Drosophila melanogaster: one gene and its partner. The protein of the gene in region 1 interacts with the protein of each later gene in a pairwise test. Each region holds a gene or a part of one and is shown on either strand. Other genes may lie near its edges. The genes, in order: CG4701 and CG11349.

Region 1 (3,856 bases):
ATATAACAAATCATGTATTTAGTTCATTTTTTAATGCAATCAAGTGAAGTGACTGGCTAATAAAATGTTAAATATAAGTAAACACTCCTATTTCGTTTTCAAAGAACATTTTCCATATACCGACTTTATTAATTAAGTTCTTTACTACTGAATTGCATATGCATGATAAAATTAAAAACACTCTTCGCAAGAGTAATTCAGAAGCAAACGAGGCGGAGGCTGAGGTCCGTAGTTAGGCTTCTGCCGCTTCTGTGAATCAACTTATGAATATTCAATTTTACATAAAAGATTTTTTGTTGTTGCTGTCGTAGCTGTTGTTATTTTGAGTTTTTGTTGTGCCACTGTGCTGGTGCTGTTCTTTCGCAGCCGTTCCTGGTTGCAGACCTTTTTTCAGATAACTCGCCGCTCTTCATGGCTGCAAAAACTCTTCATGCATGCCATGAAATGTGAAAAATATAGGTCGGGCTGACAGTTTGGGGTGTTGGTAACTGGGCAGGATGAGCCAAAGTGAGGTATAAAGAGCGTAGTCTCGTAAAATAGAACTAGCCGGAAGATAATGGCGAAGCACTGAGAAAAAATGAGCTTGGCTGTGCAATGGAATTTGTTATTGAACATACCAATTCGCTGAGAGAGACCAGCGGTAAGTGAAAGTGGGAGGAAGACAAGGACACTTTTTTAAAGGAGGCTTGATGCTTTAGAGTTTAAAATATTAATTAATATAAAATTTGGCTTATACAAAGAAATCTTCCAAATAAGACAAGAGAAAACTGCAAAATTGATGAAGCACATAACGAAGCTTTTATTGCCGATTTTATGCTCATCAATACCCAAAACGGCACCCTCAGTCCAACTCCAGATCCTTTTCGAGAAAAGTGCCCTGCGCCTGATGTTTCGACGCCTTCATGACGGACAGCGACTTGAGAAGGTCTTCCATTTGAATTTCCAAGTGCTCCCACTCCTGCAAGGCCTGATCCTTTACCTCGAAGTCCCATTCAATCTTGTCTTTTCCAATTTCCTCGCCGGTGTTCAGCTTTTCGCGCATAAACTGGCGCATACGGTACATGGATGCGTGGCGACACAATTCCCGCAAATCGGATCCTGAAAATCCAATCGTCAGTCGGGCCAGCTCCTTCAGATTAACCGAAGGACTCAGTTGCTCTGTCTGGAGGATCAACTGAAGGATTTCGCGTCGCTGGCAGTCTCGCGGCACTCCAATGTGAAATTGTGCGGGCATACGGCGCAGGATGGCTTTATCGAGGTCTTGCGGCCGGTTTGTGGCCCCCAAAACGAGGACACAAATGTTGGTATTGCTCATTAACCCATCCCACTGCAACATAAACTGAGTCTTAATCATGGCGGTTGCCTCGTGATCATTGCTACCGCGCATCCTGAGAAAAGATTCAATTTCGTCTATGAAGATGATGCAGGGCTGAAGTTTTTTGGCCAGCGTGAAAACGGCTGTGGCCAGCTTCTGGCTTTCGCCGTACCACTTGTCCGTTAGCACACCCACGTCCAGATTGATGAATCGCATCCCAGCATCCTTGGCAATGGCCTTGGCGATCAGGGTCTTGCCACAACCAGGCGGTCCATGCAGCAGGACTCCCTTGGGCGCTCGCCACAGTTTCGATCGGCTAAAGAGCTTACGATGACGCACTGGGAGAACCACCGTCTCCCTAAGCTCCTGAATAGTCCCATCCAGTCCGGCAATATCCGACCAACTGATATCAATGTCCTCAGGCGTCACCAGATGCGAAGCAATCATCATCTCGTGCTCATTAAAGTCACGGGCTCGAAACTTCTTTGCCGCGCCAATCGCCGAGGAGTTCAGCTTGCGCAGCTGCTCTTCCGCAACATATTTCGCCTTACCCCGGATCTTATTATTGGGATCCAGCGCATTGATCATCCATTTGGCAGTGTAGTACGTTAACGCGCTAAACACACACACCCGAATGACGATGGCCAGGATCTGGCACTGAGTACCCTCCTGCGAGTCCATTTTTCACACACCAATTTGTATCGACAATCTAGTATCGAATAATAAATAAATGTCACTTAAAAATTACACATCGGTATATTACTAACTGCCTACTGCTATGCGATGCACAACACTGATTTACTAGAAATATAATATAGGATTGTCAAGTGTTGTAGAAAAATATTCTTAAAAAAGTTTTCTTAGTTCCCAGAGACAAAAAAAAAATAAAAACAAAAGTTGCTTTTTAAAGATTTGTTAAGATTAACGTGGAAATATGAATAGTAGTTCTGCTAAATTACATTAAACCAAAGTTACTTACTGCATACAATAAGGAGTAATAAGCCATTTTTACCCACTGTGCATTGTCCAGATTCGTTTTAATTTCTGTTTAAGTTTTCCGGGCTCTGTTCTGGCCTCTGTTCCTCCTGCAGGATTTTGACGCTAACCTGCAAGAAATGCCGGCAAATAAAACTGAAAAAGCCTGAATGGAAGGCGGAGGAGAATGTTTTCTAGTTTAGTATCTCTCAACAAAGTATTTGTCTCAGTAACAAAAGATAAACTTGTCGAGCCAGCTGCTGTTCCTTGTTCCTTGTATCTAGCTGCGAGAATCCATCGCTGTTCGGTATCCTGCTGAATTGGAAGCAGCAGCCAAGGACGAAAGGCCAGGCCATAAGACGGTCAGAAGTATTAACTAAACACTGCAGCAATTTATCTGCGAACCCCTTTACCACCCAATTTTCCCAGCCCACCGAACGCAGGTCAGTTCTGTGCTTTGTCTTGAAGTTATTTCCGCTGCCCTTTCCCTCTTCACGGAAATCGCTGTGCACTGTGTTGTTTTGGGCTTCCTTCCGCATTACAAAAGAATTACTCAACACAATGTCTGGACGAAGTTTCCACTACTACGAACAGAGCCCTATTATCCACCGTTTTTGCCCAATAGTTTTCATATTCCTGGCTCAGGTGTCTCTGTCTGCCATCCAAAAATTGGTATTTCGCAAAAGTCTTGTTAGCATTTTAATCCAACATTTTCACGTCTGTTTGTACCGATCAAAAATTAAATCCAATCTAAGCCAGAAAATGTTGTAAGTTAACGGAAACCAAAGAGGATCCCACGAGCGCTTACTCCATGTAAAACTTAACCTTTCCATAATCCATTTGACTTTAGTTAGATTGATAAATAAAATGAATTGAATTGAATGAATTAAGGCACGTTTAAAAATTTCTCTAAACAAATCCAATTAAATTACTATTTGAAAGAGTACCTTACGGAGTAAGATCTATCTTAAATAGAAAATTGGCTTATTTGTGTGGAGCCCTAACTGAACTGATCTGCTCTTGACCTTTGCCCACTTAACAGAGTTTTCCAGACTTGGGCGCAGCTTTCGATGAAAATCGCCTTTATCCCGAAATGGAAAATGGCGAAGGGAGCCCTTACTGAGCATTATATCATACCGCCTCCGTTGGGCGCCATTATGGATGCAATTTCAGTGCGCACTTTGTGCAACATCTTTAAGCTCGTTAGCGTGCCGGGAACCTTTATGTTGAACAAACAGCCCAAGTTCTTCCACTGTCTATTCGCCTTTCACTGAGCTACTTTTGAAGAGTTCATAAAAATCACTTCAGCTATGCAATATTTCATGATTTCACCAACTCCTGCTCGCTCACTACCTTTCGCTGGATACCACCCACTATATTCGTAGTCCTTTCCCCTTATTTTGTCCTCTTTGTCAGATTCCAAGTCCGCTCGTTCGTTCTGCTGAGCACACGAAAAATTTAATTATATATTTTGTTGTTATTACTGTGCCTATATTGTTGCAAAAGCTGGAGCTTTCACTTGGAAAGTTGTGGAGCATTCGTCAAAATGTGACAAGACGACATAAA
Region 2 (4,725 bases), on another chromosome or scaffold:
CGTCAATACAGATCAGATAACGTGATTATGCAAAAAAGGGCACCATATGCCATTAACCCCAAGAGGAAATGTTTAAGATACCTAATACCTTGGGAGTCGCGATCTTGAGGCTTCTCTGAACAATTAATCAATCAGTCCATCAATCGAGTTAGCGGAACATTAAGTCATTAGCCTGAGCAATTTGTTTGCTTTAAGTGGATAAGGTATACGGCTGACTAGATAGTTTATGACCGGCTAATTGCTATACTTCTTGTTCTGGATCGATTTAAAAATAGCTCTCTGCTACTGTTTCTATTAACCCAATATCGGGTTTAGTCTTAGCAAAAGCTTGGGTGAATTAAAAAAGCTCTTCTTCAAGACGAAACCAAACTATCAGGTTTGCGATAAAATTGTTTTGGCAAAAAAATTAAGCTGTGATACGTGTATTCTTATGAATATTTATATTTAATATGACAGCAAAAAAATGAGAGTTTTAAATCCAAACTCCATGGCGTACCTAACTGATAAAAACAAGCCCCATATGGCGTCGTGGTCGAGGTATCTGTTTGCCCAATTAAACAAATTTTTCGACGCGAAGAAAAACGTTTCGTTGATTTATGATACTCAGCACTTCCGTTTGGATCCGCAGATTCTCCGACTTGTATAAAAGTACAGGAGTCGCCGGTCTAAGATATTATTCGGTTCGTTGCTCCTAAAGCAAACAGATCATCTAAAATGGTAAGGATCTCCCATCTGTATTGCGGATTATATTAGTTGGCATATTATTCTATTTCGATTTTTCCCTGTAGAAATTCTTTATCTTGACCTTGGCCGTGGTTGGCTGTGTGGCCGCCGAATCTGGCTACAACTACAATGCTCCCCGCCAGGTAGCCGCCTCTGCCCCGGCTCCTGTTTTCCAGCAAGCTGCCTCTGCTCCGGCTCCAGTGAGGACCTACGTGCCCCCAGCTCCAGCTGCCTCTGCCCCAGTGCAGTCGTTTGCCCCTGCCCCAGCTCCAGTAGCTGCTCCTGCTCCCGTTTTCCAGCAGGCCGCCTCTGCACCCGCACCAGCCCGCACATACGTGCCTCCCGCTCCCCATGTCCACCACCATGCCGCCGCCTCAGCTCCAGCTCCCGTTCAGTCCTTTGCTCCTGCTCCAGCTCCCGCCCCCGCCCCCGTGCAGTCCTTCGCCTCTGCTCCAGCTCCTGCTTTCGAGTCCTCCGGACCGGTGTTCGAGGCCGCAGCTTCCGCCCCCTCTGCCGCCCGCTCCGGATACGATTATAGCCAGCCCGCCGCCAGCCAGCAGGGATACAAGTACAAGACCGTCCGTCGCCGTGTGTTCAAGCACCGCGCTTAAACGATGATGATGATACGATAAAATGCGACAATAAAAAACTCGAATATTAAATTTATAAAAACATAGTTTTATTTGAGCATTAAAACACTAATAAAGATAATATGATAATTTGATAATTAAACAAGAATGATATGGTGTATAGTTTTAGCAAAAGAAGCGCGCAAAAAAAAAAACTATAAAACCTAAAACAACATTTCAAAAGTGCTAAAATTCTTGCTAGAAAAGAAAAAAAAAATCGCAAAATTAAATTTTATTAATAATTGTTAGTTAGTACTGGAGTGCAGTTTTTCTTATCCATAACTAACAATCAGTTGTTAATGATAAATTAGTTTGAAGCTTCAATTGTATTACTAGGCCAAATTCACACCTGGAAACGAAGTTCAAAGAACCCATGCGTTATCGCATAAGTGTGCAGCGCACTTGGGCCAATAAATTTAAACGCTTTGATCTGACAAATTTACGGGACACTTTCGTTGTGCTTCAGAATATTCAATAGAATTTAAATTGGCGGCTATTCAATAAGAACAAATGGGTCACATAAAGCGCGGAATCGATTTCTCACGCTCGGCAACAGGTTTCGCTTTCAACTGTGGTCTTTTTTGGGGGCTCGATGTGGGGATGCAACAAAAAAGATCCCGAAGAGAGTATATAAGTTGCATCTACAGCTGCTTACAGTCACTGGCACTTTAGCAATGGTAACGGATCAACGATAGGTTCTAGGTTCCGCATTTCACCAATCCATTTTTATTTTAGAATGTCCTCGTGATCCTGGTTCTATGCCTTATGGCAATCGCATGTCTGGCGGACGTTTCCCATGTGAAACACCACAAGCACCAGCGGCATCATCACTCCAGGGATCACGAAGATGACGATGAGGAGTCCCATTACCTACCTCCCCACGAGGAAAAGGAGGTGGAGCAACCTTTTTACAAGAAGGAGAAGCACACCAGTGAAAAGGTGGTTTACCACAAGGTAGAGGAGCACGAGGAGCCCAAATACTACAAGGAGCATCAACATGAAGAGCCCAAAAAGCAGCGAGTGGATCACTACCATCACTATGACAAGAAGCCAGAAGTAAAGACCCAGCACATTCACTACAAGCATAGCAAGCCCCATGTCCGTACGGATTACAATCAGGACTTGTTCACCCCAGCTGCTACCCAAGTGGTTTATCGCCGCCGTCGTCCTAGTCGAATTCTATACGCCAGTGCCCCCAACTCGGTGTTCCACACCCACACGCAGATCAACGTGCAGTCCCAGGATTCGGAATTGAATTCCCTTACTCGCCCAGATCGTGCAGCAGGAGCACAGGATCCTGCTGGGGCTCAAGCACCGACTGGAGCCCAGGCACCAGGATTTCGACCCAACTGCCAGTTTGTTGGACCTGGAAACGTACCACCTGGCTGTGGACCCTCTGATCCCATAGGTGCTCAGCTACCAGCCAGTGCTTTGGCTCCCACTGGTGCTAATCTTCCGGCCAATCAACCTGTTGCCGGCGGACAATTGGCTGTTCTGGGTAACGGTCAGCGACCTCCACGTCCAGGTGGCTATGGAGGTGGATATGGCAACCGACTCAACTTTTTTGTTGATCCTTCGCTGGGCGCTCAGCTGGGAGCCATAGGTAATGCTGGAGCTGGAAATCAACAGGCTGCCGGAGGAGGTCAGCTTGCGGGAGGAGCTCAACTTGGAGGGAGCCAAGGATTCGACCCTTCCTTTGGTGCCCAAGCAGCTGCCGGAGGACCATTTAACACTGGTTTTGGAGCTGGTCAAAGACCTCAAAGACCTGCGCAAAACCAATATGATCCCAACCTTCAGCTAGGTGGCCCTTTTGACCCCTCCGTGGGTGCTCAATTGGGCGCAGGTCAGGGTGTTTCTAACCAAAGACCAAGTGGACAGGGAGCATTTGATCCTTCTACAGGTGCTCAATTGGGCGCAGGTGAGGGTGTTTCTAACCAAAGACCAAGTGGACAGGGAGCATTTGATCCTTCTACGGGTGCTCAATTGGGTGCAGGTCAGGGCTTTAACCAGAGACCAAGTGCACAGGGAGCATTTGATCCTTCGACAGGTGCCCAACTTGGAGCTGGACAAGGCGTGCCTAACCAGCGACCCAATGCAGCTGGACCAGGAGCTTTTGATCCCAATCAGCGACAGTCCGACCCCTCCATTGGAGCCCAATTGGCAGCGGGACAAGTACCACGCCTCAACAACCGACGACAGCGCAATCGATCCAACTACCAGGGTCTCAATGTGCTGAATGGAAACGTTTTCGGACAACCCCATCTCCAGGGACCCACAAATGCGCTGGGAAATCAACAGGACACCAACATCATAGACGGCAACTTCTACAGCGATCCTCATCATGGACACCAGCGGGCTTTGGTATCGGTTAATCCTAATCAGCGTTCAGTCCTTATACCCGATGACGATGATGCGGACGATGATGGGCAGCTAGGATTTCTGGGCTTTGCGGCTAGTAACAAGCAGTCCTCTTATGTGGTTGCTCCCAAACAACTGCGATCTCATAGGCGCAGTTCAAAGCGAAACAATGTGGATCTTAAAACATCTGCTTCGGAGTACGACACTGACTATCGTGAGGATGGCTATCACTACCAGAAGCCCAAACAGTCATTCGAGTTTTAAGTATTTTAAAACAGAACATATTATAACATAAATTAAATCATACTTATCAGCATTTGCTACAAGAGCATACCAAACAAACCTTGATTACTTATTTAAAGCATACTTTCAGGCGAAAACTATGGCGGCTACTTCCGTTTCCGCTCAAGGTAGCTTTAAAGTTTGTTGAGAAATCGACACGGGTTTTCAAGCTGAGCTTTATAAATTGAGCTTTTGATTAAGCTTTACACCAGACTACAAATATCTATATTGCACATAAAAATATCCAGATATTTACCAACTATGTATATTTGATTTTTTTGTTTGCCTTTAAATTACATACATTAACATAAATATACACGTGCAAATAGATTAGGGCATTTATGTTCTGGCCATATCTGCGATTGCCTTTGATGGAAAAGGTGTATATATTGTCCATTAGGGTACGCGGAAAGGAAACTAGTTCAGAGCTATATAGAAATAGAGGCACAAAGACATTTTTTTTATAGTGAGAGAGGCAAAATGAATTGTCGACATAAATTTATGCAATCATTTAGATTCGATTCTCATGCAAATCCAATCAACTGAAATCAAAATAGAAATAAAACAAAATCTATTGTTTCACCAGGCAGCATATCTTGGCCAGTCGACTGCATAGAGGTGAGCTGCCCAAAACACATTCATTGGATCCGTTTTTGGCCCACCTCATTTGTGACCTATGGATAAAAGGCTGCGTGTATGTTATGTTTTTGTTATGATTATTTTTTACTCAGAC

Evidence for each region.
Region 2: the proteins of CG4701 (region 1) and CG11349 interact in a two-hybrid assay, tested with the Drosophila melanogaster proteins (one large-scale study listed by BioGRID).

The regions. Positions count from the first base shown.
Region 1 is NT_033779.5:14,764,147-14,768,002, reverse strand, and holds CG4701 (uncharacterized protein), read right to left. Parts: upstream 2,096-3,856; 5' UTR 1,997-2,095; coding exon 842-1,996; 3' UTR 778-841; downstream 1-777.
Region 2 is NT_037436.4:4,471,051-4,475,775, forward strand, and holds CG11349 (uncharacterized protein), read left to right. Parts: upstream 1-2,017; 5' UTR 2,018-2,026; coding exon 2,027-2,029; intron 2,030-2,087; coding exon 2,088-3,974; 3' UTR 3,975-4,045; downstream 4,046-4,725. Other genes in the region: CG32248 (uncharacterized protein), read left to right, coding at 715-717, 789-1,334.